Saccharomyces cerevisiae S288C: one gene and its partners. The main gene of each other region encodes a partner of the protein of the gene in region 2 in a complex. Each region holds a gene or a part of one and is shown on either strand. Other genes may lie near its edges.

Region 1 (4,590 bases), on a different chromosome or scaffold from region 2:
AACCAATGACTTGCGGGAGAATTTGAAAGAAAAGCTAGAAAGAGATAAGGCTCTGTATTTAGAGGTTAAAAACGCGAAAAGTAAGCTAAAGAAGAAGCCGTCAATAACAAAGCTGCCAGCCTCTTCTTCTCCATCCCCCTCACCCACATCTTCAGCAAGCCCATCAAGACAGGCCTCTTTAGAGAGCATAAGAACAAGGGCAAGGGCGCATTTAGCCTCAAATTCTTCTAGGTCTCCCTCAGTATCGCCTGTAAGGACCACTTTCAACAATAAAAACGCAGAAACGAAGAAAAGCGTGGTGTCTCCGGAGAAAAGAAAACTGATCAACGGCAGAAGGCCTAGATCCTCATCTTTGCAATCCTATACAAACAAACAACAAACCTCATATTTGAATTCTACAAGACATCCGTCAATAGCTCCACCTTCAAAGCTCAACAATCAAAGGTCCAATTCTTTGCAGTCCTCAACCATGACGTTAAATCAAAAAATCGTCCAAGATACAGTGCGGCATTTGATGAACAAAAGTGCATCTACACCCAATCCTTCTGCATCTTCATCGTTAGCGCCTTCACCAAAAGTATCCAGTATAAACAACACCTCCTCAGGAAAATCATCAAGTACCCTGATTGCCAATAGTAGTGATACTTTGGCTATAGAGACATTAACTCTAGATCCGGAGTCAAACTCCAGTGAATTGTCCATCAAAAGGGTGAGATTTGCTGGTGTACCGCCAATGACAGAGGCAGAAAATCCTAAACCAACAAAGGTGGGTTGGTACAAGAAGCCGGCTGTGCTACATTATCCGCCAATACCTGCTTCGGCAATGATCAAGCCGCTACAGCATAAGTCCAAATATAACACGCTGAGACAAGAAGAAGGGTTTACCTTTCGAAAAAGTCTTCGAGATGGATTAGAGTGGGAAAATGGCGAATCTGGCTCCGAAACTACCATGATGCCGTTTGGGATCGAAATCAAAGAGTCGACCGGGCATAGAATAGCTTCTAAAATCAGAAGCAAATTGAGATAACTCCGCACCTTATAAAAACAACTCTTTATGTCCCTGGAAAAAAAAAAGAATACATATCTAATACTATTCATATCCTTCATTGTTCTTGTCTGATGATTCAAAAGTACTCATACTATTTTTTAATATTTAATCTTTTACCTTAACGTATTATTGTAATTCTTCACGAATTTGATTTTTCCCCAGCTAAAAAGTTGATGAAAGAAGTTCAAATTATGGGGTTATTGACACATGGCAGCTCTGAGCCGAGAGGACGTATCAGCAACCTCAACCAAATATGTTTAGTAACAGACTACCACCTCCAAAACATTCTCAAGGACGAGTTTCGACGGCTTTGAGCTCAGATCGCGTTGAGCCGGCAATATTGACTGACCAAATCGCTAAAAACGTTAAGCTCGATGATTTTATTCCAAAGAGACAGTCTAATTTCGAACTATCGGTTCCTTTGCCAACGAAAGCAGAAATCCAAGAATGTACAGCAAGAACCAAGTCATACATTCAGCGGCTTGTGAATGCGAAACTAGCCAACTCAAATAACAGGGCATCATCAAGGTACGTCACCGAAACACATCAGGCACCCGCGAATCTATTATTGAACAACAGCCACCATATTGAGGTAGTGTCCAAGCAAATGGATCCATTGTTGCCAAGGTTCGTTGGGAAGAAGGCGAGAAAGGTTGTAGCACCCACAGAAAACGACGAAGTCGTGCCTGTTCTCCATATGGATGGCAGCAATGATAGGGGAGAAGCTGATCCAAATGAGTGGAAGATACCTGCAGCTGTGTCAAACTGGAAAAATCCAAATGGTTATACCGTGGCCTTGGAAAGACGTGTAGGTAAAGCTCTTGACAACGAAAATAATACCATCAACGATGGGTTTATGAAGCTCTCCGAAGCGTTAGAAAACGCTGACAAGAAGGCAAGACAAGAGATCAGGTCCAAAATGGAATTGAAGCGGCTTGCTATGGAACAGGAAATGCTTGCTAAAGAATCTAAATTGAAAGAATTGAGCCAACGAGCCAGATACCACAACGGGACTCCGCAGACGGGAGCAATAGTTAAGCCCAAAAAGCAAACGAGCACAGTGGCCAGACTAAAAGAGCTGGCGTACTCTCAAGGAAGAGACGTATCCGAAAAGATAATTCTGGGCGCAGCAAAGCGTTCAGAACAACCGGATCTGCAGTACGATTCAAGATTTTTCACAAGAGGGGCAAATGCCTCCGCCAAAAGGCATGAAGACCAGGTTTATGACAACCCACTGTTCGTCCAACAAGATATTGAAAGCATATACAAGACCAACTACGAAAAGCTGGACGAAGCGGTCAATGTTAAGAGTGAAGGTGCCAGTGGTTCTCACGGCCCCATTCAGTTTACTAAAGCTGAATCCGATGATAAATCGGATAACTATGGCGCCTAGGCCCAGGATGAGCACTAGGAAAACAAAGCATTCTTGTGCTTGAGTTGTATTATAGATAAAAAAATAAAACTACTGCATATACGTGTACATCTATATATTAATATATTCTAATCGTCCTCGTTTTCGTTTTCGTTTTCCCTTCCAATTTTCTTGAAATCATTGATAATAAAGTCATTATCGCTGAGGTGTGATGATTGACTACACTTGATTATGTTCAGAATTTTAGAATTCCTTCTCATAGCAAACTGCTCTATTTTCTTGATGGTCCCACTTACCTTGACGGGGTTCACGATCAGTCCATCGACGTCGCCAATTTTCGACATCAACATCAATGCCATGATAACAAGGTCGCAATCCTCTCGATGGCATCGGATTATCCCCGTAGACGTCTTATTTGAAAAGTATTTCAACTGCAAGAGAGAGTTACATTTTGCAGACCCATAGTCGCCCAGATTCAACGACAGCGAGCGTCGTATCTCTTGGAGTATCGACTTTATGGACACATCCGCAGGCGATGCTCTGTGATGCGAAAGCAAGATGTCTGCTTTCGACACAGATTCCTCAACGTTGGTGTCTGTAGGTGGGAATATAATTTCAAAAAGGATATATCTACTTTTTAAACGTACCATTTATCGACTTGTTTCTTTGTTGCACTAACTATTGCTATCACATTAATCTGATAGTGAAAAGTAAAATATTTTTCAAGAGCGCTAAGCAAGAACAAAACAAAACAAAGTCAGGAGGCAATTAAAGACAACAAGATAGAAAAACCAGAGTGGTTGCTGTGGTAGTACGTTGGGGGCTCGTTTGTCGAGGTTTTTAAGCAGGTTTGAATGGAAGAAGAAAAAAACGAGCACTTACTGGAGTTACTTGGTAAGAAAAGAGTAAGAGGGTTTGGTGGGTGATATATATTTTCATGCCACCAACTGCGAAAAGACAAGGCATGCATCCATGGCTGGTGAAGTGTTTGTTTAGGATATGAACTTCAACCCAATTCAGTTCCCTCACAAACATCGTCTTTCTTCCTTCACCCACAGGTGCAGGCGCCGCCATGGGTGAGCCTGAGACAGGGTCAACACATTAGATCGATTCAAAGTTACGACAGTCATACAGATAATGAAACGACATATTTGAACTGGTAAACGAGCTTGCCATTGGCTCTGAGTATGCCCAATGCTTCTTTAGTGAATAATGTTCACTAAAACTGTTGGTACATCCGTGCACCTCCGCTAGATGAGGTGCAGGGGTCTATCAAGAACCCCCTTCTTCCTAAGAGAACCGCTTATAAAAGTAGCCACATGGTTCATAACATCCCCGTTATGGCTCATACACTGGGCATCGATAAACAGGATATTCGCGCATCGTAACATTTATAGGGGAAACATGGGATTATATTCTCCTGAATCTGAAAAGTCTCAATTAAATATGAATTACATTGGTAAGGATGATTCGCAGTCCATTTTCAGACGTCTGAATCAGAATTTGAAAGCAAGTAACAACAATAACGATAGTAATAAAAACGGTTTAAACATGAGTGATTATAGCAATAATTCACCCTATGGGCGCTCGTACGACGTAAGAATTAACCAGAACTCACAAAATAATGGCAATGGATGCTTTTCTGGCAGCATTGACTCCTTGGTTGATGAACATATAATACCATCGCCACCTTTGTCGCCCAAGCTGGAGTCGAAAATTAGCCACAATGGCTCACCCCGCATGGCCTCTTCAGTGCTAGTGGGATCTACGCCTAAAGGCGCTGTAGAGAATGTGCTGTTCGTGAAGCCTGTATGGCCCAATGGGTTATCAAGAAAAAGGTACCGCTACGCCACCTACGGGTTTCTGTCTCAATACAAAATTTTCAGCAATTTGGCCCAACCATATTCTAAGAACATTATCAACCGGTACAACAATCTGGCCTATAATGCTAGACATAAATATTCCAAATACAATGATGATATGACTCCTCCTCCTCTGCCTTCCTCTTCTTCTAGATTACCTTCCCCGTTAGCATCTCCGAATTTGAATAGACAAGCAAGATATAATATGAGGAAACAGGCTCTCTACAATAACAATCTAGGAAAGTTTGAATCCGACACTGAATGGATACCACGGAAACGCAAGGTATACTCACCACAAAGAAGAACGA
Region 2 (9,135 bases):
TCCGGCAAATCTTCATACTTTGTAATTTTGGTAATATCTTGATCCCAACCTGGCAAAACTTTGTATTCAACTTCAACTTTACCAAGAATATTCAAGTCTTCAGGGAACAAATCTAGCTTCTTACCTTGAATAGAATATGAAATACCCACTGGGATTTCTTTGAAAGTATCGAGGACGTCTAACTTGGTAATGTTCAAACTCGTGTATCCATTGATCAAAGTTGAGTATTTCAAGACTACCAAGTCTAACCAACCGCAACGACGCTTACGACCAGTAGTGACACCAAATTCAGCACCAATGGTCTGCAGTTTTTCTCCATTTTCGTTCAATTGTTCCGTTGGGAAAGGACCTTCACCAACTCTAGTTGTGTAGGCTTTAACAACACCATAAATTTCATCAATAGTACGTGGAGGAATACCTAAACCGGTGAGGACACCACCAATACCAGTATTGGAAGAAGTCACATATGGATAAGTACCAAAATCAATATCCAACATCAAAGCATTAGCACCCTCAACCAATATCTTTTTCTTTGCTTCAATAGCATTGTGCATGAAAACGACAGAATCGACGACGAATGGCTTTAGTTGCTCTCTTAACTTCTTGTATTCAGCAAGCTTGGCTTCAAAGTCGTATTCGAAATCACCGTATCTTTGTCTTCTCGTTTCCAATAATCTCTTATATCTAGCAACAAATTCCTCCCAGGCACCGGGTTGATCATTCACCAAATGATGAACTCTCAAACCAGATCTAGAAGCCTTTGTGGAATAAGTTGGACCAATACCTTTACCGGTAGTACCGATATTTTTACCATCTTTAGAACGACCTGATAACTCCAATTCTCTTAGCTTGTCAGTCACCTGATGAAAGTCAAAGACTAAATGTGCTCTGGAAGAAACAAATAATCTACTCCTTGCGTTCTTCAAACCTTTAGCTTCCAAGGTTTCCAACTCTTTGAAAAAAGATGGAACATGAATAACAACACCATTACCCAAAAGGTTTTGGCAGTTTGGGTTGACTAAACCAGATGGTAACATATGGAAATCATACTTAACACCGTCTACAACAATGGTATGCCCGGCATTGTTACCACCGGCGCAACGGGCTACAATATCATATTTACCAACCAGTAAATCAACTAGTTTACCTTTACCCTCATCACCCCATTGGGAGCCCAATACAACGTTAACCATTCTGATATGCTTTAAATTTAGTAATGTTACGATTTCCCCTACCTTATCCAACGAAAAGCTTAATATTTACTCGGTCGAGGTAAGCTTCTACAATCGTTTCTTTTATAAGGCAAGTTAAGAAATAAAGAGAAAGTCAAAAAAGAAAAGACTAGTAAGAAAAAGAAATTACTTTTTTAGAAATAATGTTTACTTATTATTATTTACTTTGTTAATCTGTGACTCAATGAAAAGGATCGCGATCAGTAAATGTAAAATCGAGATTATTTAAATACAATTTTTTTCCGTATCTGGATTCACAGGAACAGGTAAGTGGGACATGTTTTCCCGACGATTTGGTCACGAGAGCGAATTGAATGGGACTAATCTCACCATCCGATTCTCTGGGGTTGCGGTAATTGCTGATTCCTTTAAGTTTACAGATTTATTAATTGGTTGCAAAGTAAATTACTATTGACTCTACCGGCCATAAGGAAGGTAGATTGACTTCTTTGCTGGTCATTTTTTCATATGTGATGTGCACGTGACATTGCACCCGGGTAAGAGGGTAACACTGTGGGAAAACTTTTCAGTGAAATTCGCATTAGAAGAAAGCAGATCTGAATTCGATGAGATTCTCGGAACGGTGGCATGTCTTTGAAGAACGGGGATACTTATTGAGCAGCCTGCCACTTGAACATTTGGCAAGAAAGGTGAGAATTGACCTCATTATAATTACAAATGAGCGGGAGTTTGTCTAGAGGAAATGGTGGAAAGAAAGTTCTTAATAAGAATCAATTACTGAAGCGAAATCGCATAAGAAATGCTAGATCAATTAGAGCAGAGGCCGTGGCCGCTTCATCAACAAAAACTGGGACACCGAGTGATCTGAGTGAATCGGGAAGTAAGCTAAACGTGGACCAATTCATTAGTTCTCGACAATTCGAGGTTAAGCAGTTGCAATTGGCCATGCATAATTCCAAAGCAGCCAGCTCAACGAGAATATTTCAGGCATTGCCTCGAAAATTGCGTCGTAGAACGGCTTCGCATAATGTTCGTAGAATTCCAAAAAGAATGCGCAATAGAGCTTTGAGGGAAATGCGTAAAAGTGATCAGCAGGATGTGTTGAAGGGGTCTTCAGCCTCTTCCAGAAAAGCTCATGGCCTAAATGCAAAGCAACTTTATAAAGCTAGAATGTCCATAAAGCTGCTACGATTGGCTAGCAAATCTACTTCTATGAAACTCAGCATGCCACCAGAGGTTACATCATCTAACTGCCACGTAAGGCAGAAAATCAAGACATTAAAGCGAATGATTAAAGAATCATCAACAGCAAATCCAAATATAAAGTTACTTAATAATCGTATGGGGAGCTATGATTGCACTGGTGTCAATGAATTAGCACCTATTCCCAAGGGCAGGGTCAAATATACGAAGAGACAGAAGCACTTTGCTTGGCTACCCACCCACATTTGGAATGCTAAAAGGTCGCACATGATGAAAAGATGGGGATATCAAATGGTATGGGCACCTACTCAAAAATGCTTTAAATTGACGCATAGGTTGGGCGGTGATACCTGCAGCTCCGATGGGGCCTTATGCATGGATTCAAGTTATATTGGTACAATAATTGTAAAAGACAAAAGCAATGACAGTGAGGGGGACTTTTTAAAATCCATTATAGGAAAGTTAACAGCTGAAAGAGCAAACTTAAGGAAATATCGCGAAGGCCAGGTTTTATTCCAAGGGTTAATTTATAGTTTCAATGAAGAAAACGGTGAGGATTCTACTAAGCCACTGGGTCCATGCGACGTATTTTGGGTACAAAAGGATACTGCAATTATAAGGTTACACCCTTCAATTTATACTCAGGTTTTTAACATTCTTTTGCAACATAAGGAAAAACTAACAGTACAAGATTGTCGATATTCATTAGCAAGCGTGACATTGAAGGGAGCTAAAGCTCTAGAGTCATTAGCATCGTGTTTAAGGAGCACAGAGTACTCTAAATCGTTTGAACAATTTAAAATGGTTTCAATGATTACCGATCATAATGCCCTACCACAGAGGTGTACGTTTGCATTTGAAGCCATAGATCCGCGTCATCTAGCTGCTCCAAAGAAATTAAATGATTCACAGAGGAAGACTGTTAATTCTGACGACATTTTATCACTGCATGAAAACTATCCTCAAGACGAAATAAACGCCGTTTTTAACGAATTATGTGACCCTGAATCACGTACTCAATCATACAACAACCAAAACACATTAAAAGAAATTTCTGCGAGACGTTACAAATTGCTAACTGCCACACCGAACAGCATCAATAAAACTACAGTCCCGTTCAAAGAAAGTGACGATCCTTCTATTCCATTAGTCATAATAAGAAGGCTCAAGACCAGGGATTGGATTGTTGTGTTACCATGGTTCTGGCTGCTACCGTTATGGCATCTACTGAACCGGATACCAAGGATGTATCACATTGGCCTCAGGCAATTCCAGCAAATTCAGTACGAGAATAAGCAATTATATTTTCCGGATGATTATCCATTCACTCAATTGGGTTATATAGAAAACTCATTTTATAAAAAGGAGGCCTCCAAGACGAAGTGGGATAGGAAGCCAATGGGAAAAAGGATTAATTTCGAGAAGATCAAAGACATCCATAACACTAAATTACCGGCATATAGCGGAGAAATCGGCGATTTTTTCAGTTCAGACTGGAGATTTTTACAAATACTGAGAAATGGAATTGATTATTTACAGCGGAATGATAAAACCTTAGAACTGATGGACAGTAAGAAGACCGGGCAATTTAACGCTCAGGGTGTAAGAGACATCAACTGTGTAAATGATGTTTTGGAGTTTTGCAAAGATTATGAAGCCAAGACCAAGGCTATGTCGTTGTCGATTGAAGAGAACATACCAGTTGCATTGTGTAAAAATCGGAAATGTCAATTTCGCACTCCTGATAGCATTAGCGTCAATAGTTCTTCATTCTCCCTTACATTCTTCCCACGTTGTATCATTGCTGTATCTTGCACACTACTCGAACGAGGTCACCCAAAGGACAATGCAAGAATATATCAAGTTCCAGAAAAGGACTTAGAGCATTGGCTACAATTGGCAAAAGGGGTTTACCGCCCAAACGGAAGAAAAGATCATGATTTGAAAATTCCACTTCCAGAGGTACATGATTTGATTGGTTTTATTACCAGCGGCACCTACCACTTAAATTGTGGAAATGGTATGGGAATCGGATTTATAGATCATCATGCGGCCATCCGGCAACCAACTAGGTATGTACTGATCAGAAATGTAGGTACCAACACTTATAGGTTGGGGGAGTGGTCGAAAATATCCGTATAATGAACTGAACTGAATTATATGTACGACCGATATCCTATAAAGCTATGTATACAGAGGGCAAATAGCAATCATATCGCGCAATAATGGTCTTTTTGCTTCCTGGAACTCTATACGTACACATTTAGAGATTGAAAGTGGCAACAAATCTTATTATATGTTAATTTAAATACGGTGATCTACGCTGCCATCATAGGGCTCATTGATTCATTCCCTAGCTCTTGAAAATGTCAATGAAATTATTACCCGTCTTTGCACCTTTTTTTTTTCTAAGGCGACGAGTTTTCCATTGGCAAGACGTATAAATAGAGAGAAGAAGTTCCATTTAATAGAACTATTTTACAAACATACTTTTAGCGTTAAAATATAGTTTTTTCTTGAATTTTTTTAAAATCCTCATACTTACCTTAAGATATCAGAGGAGATCAAGAAGTCCTACTGATCAAACATGCGCTTCCAATAGTAGAAGGACGTTAAGCATTTATCATTGAACTATAATTGTTCATTGAAGTCATTGATGCAAACTCCTTGGTCACACACACATACGGCGCGGAAGGCGTGTTTGCTGACGTTTCCATTCCCTTGTTTCAATCATTGGTTAATCCCTTGATTCCTTTGGGGATTTTTGGGTTAAACTGATTTTTGGGGCCCTTTGTTTCTTCTGCCTGGAGAAGTTTGACACCAAATTCAAATTGGTGTTAGGGGAGCTGGGGCCTTTCAAAAGAGAGCTTTGTAGAGGCATTCTTTTTGACTACTTTTCTCTAGCGTGCCATTTTAGTTTTTGACGGCAGATTCGAATGAACTTAAGTTTATGATGAAGGTATGGCTGTTGAGATTATTTGGTCGGGATTGTAGTTTGAAGATGTGCTCTTTTGAGCAGTCTCAACTTTGCTCGTTCCCGTTATGGGAAAAATTTTGGAAGGTCTTGGTAGGAACGGGTGGATCTTATAATTTTTGATTTATTTTCAGAAATAAATGGAACATTTTTCTATTTATTTCTTTCTTAAAGTACTGAAACTTTTAAAGTTTCATGCTTCTATTTTCTTCATTTCAGTCCTATATCTGGTGATGTGTTTTGGAATGAAACCTGTTATACGCTACATTGAGACAAGACATTGTCCAGCTTACTAAAAATACAGTGTGTTGTATATCAAGCTTCTTGATAAAAAAATAGCTATGTGGACAACAAGCAAATAATGTGCTTAAGAGAGCCGCAACAAGAAACGTAATATTATATAATGAATATAACTAGGAAGCTATCGAAGACTTGTGAAAGTATTGAAATTTCACGGATAATGTAGGATTCATGAGGGCCGCTTAATGCTTATGCTTTTCTACAGTAATTGACCGTTTTGTTTAGTAATATGAAGGAGCGTATAATGACGGTAGTTGAGAATGTGAGCTTTGCCACTCAGTTAAAATGTCCATTATACAATCTTCAAAGGGAATGTCATCTTTTTCACATTGTTCTATTTTATCATTGAGCATATCAGCTAATTCCAATATAGCTTTGCTACCAATTTTAGCATTTTCATCATCATCTTTAATGTCAACATTAATTACATGCACTATTTTGTTTAATTTCCCACCTCTATTCATCAAATCTTCACAAACGGCATCAAAACATCTCTCTTCACAAGTGAAAACGAAGTCGAAGACTTTTGTACTTTCTTGCCATTTTTCAGGTGCTTTTTTGAGTCTTCTATTACGATCCAGCATTTGCAATAAACCGTTCGACTTGTAACGGTCTGCTGATTGTGATAAAAGATCATTATATATATCATTATAGGGTGTACCAAATGAGTACACATTAGGCTTATCTATCGATAGACCAGGCAGTCTCACAGCTGAACCTGTTCCGTAAGAGCTAACATTATAGCCTGCTTCTTGCAGGACTTTATGCGATTCCATTGAACGATTGTTGTTTGATGCACAAACTGTGCAAAACTTCAAGTTTGAATTGCGATGACTAGGCATTTTGGACTTCGACACTAGTTTATACCACCGTTGTCTTAATCTTCTTACAGGTGGTCTTTAATTCGTGCCGACTGGCCTTTTTCTTTATTATCTTTCGTTTTTTAAGTTCTTTCCACTGCCGCAGACGAAAAATACGTAAAGGATGATCAAACGAATAAGAACAAAAGAACTGGATACCTCAGTTTTAGGGAATATATTAAAACAAGTATATATGCTTATGAACTAGTGAATTCCTTACACTAGCATTTTTCATCAATAGGACTGTGAATACCTACCGTTTCCTTCTCTACAAGGACGCCTTCTACTTCATAATCTGTTAAATTCGCATTAACAGTGTGTGTGTTTCCCATAACAACAATCTTCTGTTTCTTGCAATGAATATCTTGAAAACAATCATATTCGTCTACATCTTCTGTATTTGTTGTGTGTGGGAATATTGCACCAATATCTACGTAGTCTCCCTCTAGTACTCCGAGATTTTCATTATTGCTTGCATCTTTCTTCATTGAGTTAGAACTTACACTTTCCACGTCATCCATACTACAACTCACATCAAAGTCATCCATTCTCTTAGCAAGAACATTGATAATAGCAGATTCTGCAACTTCTAGCTTCCATTGTTGCCAGTCTTTTTCGCCCTTAATCAAAATACCAATGAGCATCGAGGGATCCATTTCCGATAGTTGCAATTTACCAAATTTACTGGTATGGCACGACTCTACAAATGAATCTTCTACTGCCGGTTGAGGAATATGAGGATCGAAATGTAAAAATTCATTTCCTTGATAACCAAAAAAATACAACGATGAAGACGGCCTACCGCCGGCAATGCCTACTGACTGTGTTGAACTTAAGATACCACATATACTTTCTCTATAGCTCTCATTTACCGCATTAATCCCGAGCTTCACGCCCAACAAGAACAATATTCTACTATTTGGATTCTCAGCAAATACTTTTTCAACTTCATTTTCATAGATATCGCCGGATGAAACAGATACTATACAATCATCGATGCCACATTCGGGGAAGCCATATATTAAAGATTGTATACTCCTTGCCGTAGCTGCGGGACCAAACCATTCACCTGGTCTTTTATCAGAGAGTTCTGTACCTGCAGAAACAAAGTTATGTAACGAAAATGGAGCCTCAGGCGTGTCATTAAACCAATTTACAAATTTTGATTCTCTTTCCAGACTTTCGTTACCATTTACCCTGAAATCTCTGCCCAAATGAAGGATTTGTAAGGCATTCCCCAACAAACTTTGTCCTGTCCTTATCATACACCCCCACCCAATATCAGTGTTAAAGCAATCAGGATTTGCTATATAGTCCTCTATTGTACTGATCGGATTTGTACGTACTAATAAATTTAGACTTAAAGGTGAAGGCCCATCTGGCGCCCTTGCTATAGGAACAAATCTTGTCCGATATGTAAAGTTGACCCTTGATTGTACATCCAAAAGAAATTCCTTTGTGTAAGAAGAAATTTCCCTACCAAAAAGAGAGCTTAAAAACCCGTCACTAACCGCTTCACCGCGATATCGACAGTCTTGTTCACATTGTTCAGCGCCAGATTCTTCGTCTCGCTCAGGATATACTTCCCCTAATACTATATAATCATGATTCATAAGAGCAGCCGGTTCTTCGGACGAGCCTTCAAAAACGCCATGAGACACTTTTTGTACCAAATCCATTTTCCACAGTTGTAGCCACCTCTGCATGTATATCACTCCTATACGTGATAAGAAGTCGTCCATTCTTCATCTACTAACGTTATTGTGTGTATATTTTTACTTTTTTCCTTTGAGGCGCTATTGTTGGCAGCTGCAACGGTCACCGCCTAAAGAATAAAAGTGAAATTTGACATTTTACAATTAAATAAGATCTGAACAAAACAACAACAATTAGGCCTGCGCAGAGTTTCTAGAAGGAAGAAGTGATTTAATCGCAGAGTCAAATATAAGCATAAATTGTTGTAACCGTCAAAAAAAATGGCAAAAAGGCATAGTCATTATCAAGGAAGCAGACGTAGGCATGCACGTGGTAGCAATTCCAAGAAAGCTGGCAGGGGGAATGCTAAAGGCATACAAGGCAGAAAGATAAAGAAAAAACCTACTCCCACTAACAGTTGGCATAACTCTTCTATACCACTAGGAGAAGGTGATCTTGATGATGTAGGCGCCGACTTCAACCCAGGAAGAGCATTCATATCACCAAAAACTATAGAAGACTATTATTTTGGTCGCGATGCCAAGAGCCGTTCTATGAAAATGGGTGGTTTAAGACCAGGTAATCGATATGATTCTTCAACTGACCTACAAGCAGGAAGGGCAGCATTCCGCAAAAGACCTATGCAATTTGTAAAAGCTAAGGAAGTTTACGATCCATCCCACAATATGATTCAAAAACTGAGAGCAAAGAACGAAACAAAGAACAGTGAAGAAATTGTCGAAAGGGAAGCAGACGTTTTTGAAGAACCAGGAAAGATGACTTCTGATGTTGAATATATTAACAATGAAGACAGTGAAAACGAGGATGATGATAGTCAGAATTCACCCTCGACGGACCACTCGCTGTCTTCGAATGAAAGCAAAGTTGAAGATGGTGACCTGTTTTTTGT
Region 3 (4,895 bases), on a different chromosome or scaffold from region 2:
TGTATGCTAGTTAATGATAAGGAATCAACTTCATTATATAAGTACAATATGCTCGTAGTACACATGTTGGAAACGAGTTTCAAATGCGTATTTCTTGTAGTATCGATAATAATTGGTAGTTCAATTTCAAAAAGGTGGAATGCAAATGCGTCTTGCAAAATTTGACCCCTCTTTAATTGCTTATTCGCGAAATCTGGCCAACTATTCGCAATTGATTGGTTAGGCCAAAATGGTTCATTGAAATCTTTGTTAACTTCAGATAGTGACTTAAATTCTTTGTAGGACAAAATAATGACACCAGATGAAGTTTTGTCATCACTTGTCACTGTTACATTTTTGAGTGATTCTATGCTAGACTTGATCAAATTATTTATCGCATGTACCAAAGAGGGTTCTAGAATTTGGAGAGATTCTATTACTAGCCGTTCCAAGCAACCTTCCATGAAATATAGTTGAGCAAACTTTGCACCGTAATATAATATCCTTTTAAAAATACTGGGCAGATAATAAATCCGAAAAAACTTTCTCTTCTCAGGTAAGTAATATCGCAGCAGCGATATAATTGCATATATCTTGTGAGAATCAAATATTGCTGATGCGTCAGGTGTAGGTGTTTGCTCATTTGTGTAAATCTTTGGATATACTTTGTCTCGCCACAACGGTTCATCATTATCAATAAAATGTGAGTATTCATCGATAGGCGAAACATGCATTCCAATTTTGTTACCATCGTCTAAGATAGAAGAAGGCATATTATGACTTTTCCTTCTATCCTGAGTTTTCGATGACGTCATCAATGTGCTGTAATTATTTTTAAATTGGGAATTCAAGTACTTTATCACTTGAATATGAAAATCTTTAACGTCATTAATGTGTTCTTTGAAGTTTTTTCTCAGTAAGCGCAAAAAGAATATACCATCTGCCTTCGTATCTACCTGTTCCTTATTGAAATAAGGAAACATATCATTAAAAATAAGGGCACGAATTAAGCTTTCAACTTTATCATTACTATCCCACTTTAAAGATCGTATATGCGCAAAGTCTTGAACTAATGCTTCTTCCCCATAAGGCCGGAATGCGCTGAACATATTTTGAAGGTCATTTAATCTAAGAACGGCAGAAGAAATCGAAGAGAACACAAGATTTTTGGATGTCCAGATTAATTCAGCACCGTCGATCCTAACTTGCTCTCCAGTGAATGCATCGATACAGTTGGCGACATAAACAATCTTTTCCCAAGGTATAATGAGTTCTTTCAGAGGATCGCTAGATTTTTGAAGATCAAAATTCTCGTAAAATTTCACCAAACATTCTTTGAGTTTCATTCGAAATTCGTACATGAACTGGAGTTGCCTTTTATCATCAGAATCCCATTTCCAAGACGAATACTCAGCCATTAGTTTGTAAAAGATTTGAAAGTTAGATCCATTATCTGGCCATCGCTCTTTTTTAATGAACTCATCTAAAGATGCCACCCAGAATCTTGAGAGTGTAAGCCCGGTAGTTTGGACTTCGGTTTCTAAGTAGTCGATTGCTGCAAACTTTAACTCGTAGTATTTCTTCATGCCGCAATATTTGTTTATTTGTCCACTCAAAGCTTGGAAGTGAGATTGATATATGTAATTTAAATGGAGGAATTGCTGAACATCTGTTTCTGAGGAAAACTCTGACGATAGAGACGCGACACTGGAAAGCAGCGCCTTTTTGATGCATTTGTATATTACTGTTTTACCGCTGCGAGTTTTATGGTGGAAACGAACGGTACCTTTTGAAGATGCAATGATCTGGGCCAGTTTTTCTGACTGTATAACAATCCGCCTTAAATTGCCAGTTGCTAGATTGCCTATAACATCTCTATATCTGGCAACAGCCTCGTCAATGGACATGACTATAAAATAAACTACACCTTAAAACTGAGTTCATATACCGCTTGCTGCTTCCATATTAAACACTTTTCGTTGTATAAATATGATGGCCTTTTTTTTTGTCTTATTTTTCTATATCTTGAAAACGAGAGATACTAGAGAAATAATACGTAAGAAAATCAGTTCTTTATTTAGCGAAGCTGAAACACAGTATAAGAGAGTAGAGCTTATTTCAAATCCAAAAAATGGCGTATAATCAAGAAGATAGTAAAAGACTATCAGACAAGTATAAGAAGGAGGGACATTTTGACAAGTTGAAAAGAGAAATATTGTCTAACCCATGGAATAATACAGAAGAGAATAGTGAATCTTTTGAACAAGCGCTTCGGAAAAGAGTTGCCAGTACTGTTAAAGAAATGGTTAACGAAGATGAAGAATTAATATTTAAAAACAGAGGGCTAACCAGTGCATTGATTGAATCACAATTGGTCAAGGACAACTACCTAAAGCTGGGTAGTAAAATGGAGGGGGATAATGGTGATGGTGAGAAGAAATTTGACTTGGATGTCTATGTACGGTCTAAGTTACAGGATCCCAAACTATTGGAAATGATAAAGGGACAACTTCAGGAAACACTGAACTCTTATGAAGAGGAAGCAAATGGAAGTACGTAATAACTCTTACTAATTCTGTATATAATATAGCATATCATCACAACGACGACTTTTGAACTTCCTGCCTGCACGATCCACACTTCTGTACTTGAACCTATCGCCTAGTATACTATATCTCAATGCCGAATCGTCGTCATCTGATATTGGGATTTCAAATTGAAATACTGTGCCCTTTTTTGGAATGCATTTTATTTCGTCTATTATATTGCCCTTGACAATCATGATAAAAAATTTCTGAGAGTCCCAGATCACAATGCCTTGAAGGCCTATTAAAGTCTTATTTTTGCTCTTTGTAACGCGTAACAGCGCACCATTATAGTCTGCCATAGATAGTTTTAATAATGCTAATGATCCATTGAATGTTTTTAAGTTTTTTGTAATGTTCAAAAGTTCTTTAATATAGTTAATCCATAGTTCCTTATACATCGGTACAAAATCAACGTACTGCGGTAATGATTCGTATATCGTTGGATGCTTCTCCTCTATGTAGTGTAAAAGGTCTTCCTTATCAGTAATTTTATTTTCGTATGCCAATTTCAGACATTTTTTTGTATTTTTTTTACAATTATTGATGTACTCTCTTAATGCGATTTTAGAGTTCTTGTTGATTCTTTGGTAATCTCTTTTTTCCAACTGTTTGTCTGCACTCTCTAACTGGGAGACCTTTTGTAAATTGTCAAGATTTAGCTTTGATTTTCTTTGCTGTCTCTGAAGCCTTGAAGTCAATCCGCCATCAGTTGGCAGTAGCAACAACGTATCTTGAAATCTATTTTCATTAAAGGGCTTTTCAGGGTCCTCCAGGCATTTCGTGAAAAGACAGTCTTTAATAAACGTTTGAGTTCTATCCATTCTGACAAATAGGGGAGTCCAAATCGTGCTTATTTTCTTTAGTCTTTACAGATTATTGCTCTCCGCTTATTCATGTCATCGAGTATATTTGCCATACTATTTTGAGTACCATTTTTTTTCTCAAATCAACGGACCGGGTAAAAAGCGGATGAATTGGGATATAAAGGCAGTAAAAAGACCACCACAGCTGCAACCACGGAGAATAAACTTCTTTAACTACCCCACAAAGCTGCCAGTAATGCTCAGTTTTCCATCCTTTGCATGAGCTTTCTGTAGAAATTTAACATTGTGCAATTTTTCTTGTATCCAAAAATTTTACATCGATTCAAAAAAAATGAATATTGGCTAGTAAAACTATTCATACTGCTATAAATACACCTGTTATGACATAAAAGCTCAAAAACAATCTGCATGTTTTTTCCTCTTTTTTCATTTATGGCTAGCAATCTCTTTTATTGATTTTTGTCGCGTAGGTATTAATGTTAACCCAGGATTCATTAATGTTGCCTCTGTGGGAACGATTACCCCCGGTAGTTATTTTGTGTTCAAGCTCGCTGTAAAAAGATCACTGTCTTCGATATTGGTTTATATAAAACTAAAGTAGCCGCCCAAGTACTCTCCGGGTACCAATTCCGTCCTTTTCTTTTTTTTCGGTAATTTCCATGGAGGAAGGTTATTGAACTATCTATTAGTCATATTCCAGATCCATCCAAATGATATAAAAAGACGGTACTTCCTAACGTACATGTCAAACCAATTGGTGAGATCGTAACCATAGCACAATGTTTACTGGTATTGTAGAATGCATGGGGACTGTTTTGGAAAACAACCCATATGATGACTCTGAAAGTGGAGGTCAAGGAGTTTCTATTACTATTGGCAATGCGGGGAGTATTCTCACCGATTGTCACGTTGGAGATTCAATAGCCGTAAATGGGGTATGCCTTACTGTGACCGAGTTTAATAACGACTCCTTCAAAGTTGGGATATCACCAGAAACTATAAAACGAAGTAATGTCGCTTCCTGGATTCAAGGCACCCAGGTCAACTTGGAGAGAGCGGTATCTCAAGACGTTAGGTTCGGTGGTCATTATGTACAGGGTCACGTAGACACTGTTGCTAATATTGTCTCAAGAAGACCTGAGGGGAATTCAATTATTTTTGGGTTTCAGTTAAGAGATCAAGAGTACTTTAAATACATAGTAGAAAAGGGATTCATTTGTATAGATGGAACTTCCTTGACCATAATCAAGGTTGACCCACTTTCGCAAGGTGGAGCCTTCTATATTAGTATGATAAAGCACACCCAAGACAATGTTATCATGCCTTTGAAGAAAATTGGCGACGAGGTTAATATTGAAGTAGATTTGACTGGGAAGATTATTGAGAAGCAAATTCTATTAACGTTGGAAAACCAAATATCAAAGAAAGATAGTACTTTGAATACTATGATCTCAAACATTATCGAGGAGAAGGTTAGAAACTACCTAAATAAATAAATAAAAAA

The links. Proteins that work in one complex are often made in the same cells at the same time.
Region 1: POP1 (region 2) and POP5 share a complex: the UniProt entries of both Saccharomyces cerevisiae proteins name them as parts of the nuclear RNase P and RNase MRP complex.
Region 3: POP1 (region 2) and POP4 share a complex: the UniProt entries of both Saccharomyces cerevisiae proteins name them as parts of the nuclear RNase P and RNase MRP complex.

What each region holds. Positions count from the first base shown.
Region 1 is NC_001133.9:81,186-85,775, reverse strand, and holds POP5 (RNA-binding protein POP5), read right to left. Parts: upstream 3,071-4,590; coding exon 2,549-3,070; downstream 1-2,548. Other genes in the region: protein phosphatase regulator GIP4, read left to right, coding at 1-1,027; mRNA splicing protein PRP45, read left to right, coding at 1,302-2,441; FUN19 (Fun19p), read left to right, coding at 3,825-4,590. UniProt on the Saccharomyces cerevisiae protein: Component of ribonuclease P, a protein complex that generates mature tRNA molecules by cleaving their 5'-ends. Also a component of RNase MRP, which cleaves pre-rRNA sequences.
Region 2 is NC_001146.8:226,471-235,605, reverse strand, and holds POP1 (ribonuclease P/MRP protein subunit POP1), read left to right. Parts: upstream 1-1,910; coding exon 1,911-4,538; downstream 4,539-9,135. Other genes in the region: ADE12 (adenylosuccinate synthase), read right to left, coding at 1-1,193; SSU72 (RNA polymerase II subunit A C-terminal domain phosphatase), read right to left, coding at 5,892-6,512; cysteine protease ATG4, read right to left, coding at 6,752-8,236; SQS1 (Sqs1p), read left to right, coding at 8,507-9,135. UniProt on the Saccharomyces cerevisiae protein: Required for processing of 5.8S rRNA (short form) at site A3 and for 5' and 3' processing of pre-tRNA.
Region 3 is NC_001134.8:727,378-732,272, reverse strand, and holds POP4 (RNase P/RNase MRP complex subunit), read right to left. Parts: upstream 3,389-4,895; coding exon 2,549-3,388; downstream 1-2,548. Other genes in the region: YBR259W (uncharacterized protein), read right to left, coding at 1-1,886; SHG1 (Shg1p), read left to right, coding at 2,111-2,539; RIB5 (riboflavin synthase), read left to right, coding at 4,171-4,887. UniProt on the Saccharomyces cerevisiae protein: Required for 5.8S rRNA and tRNA processing; associated with RNase MRP and RNase P.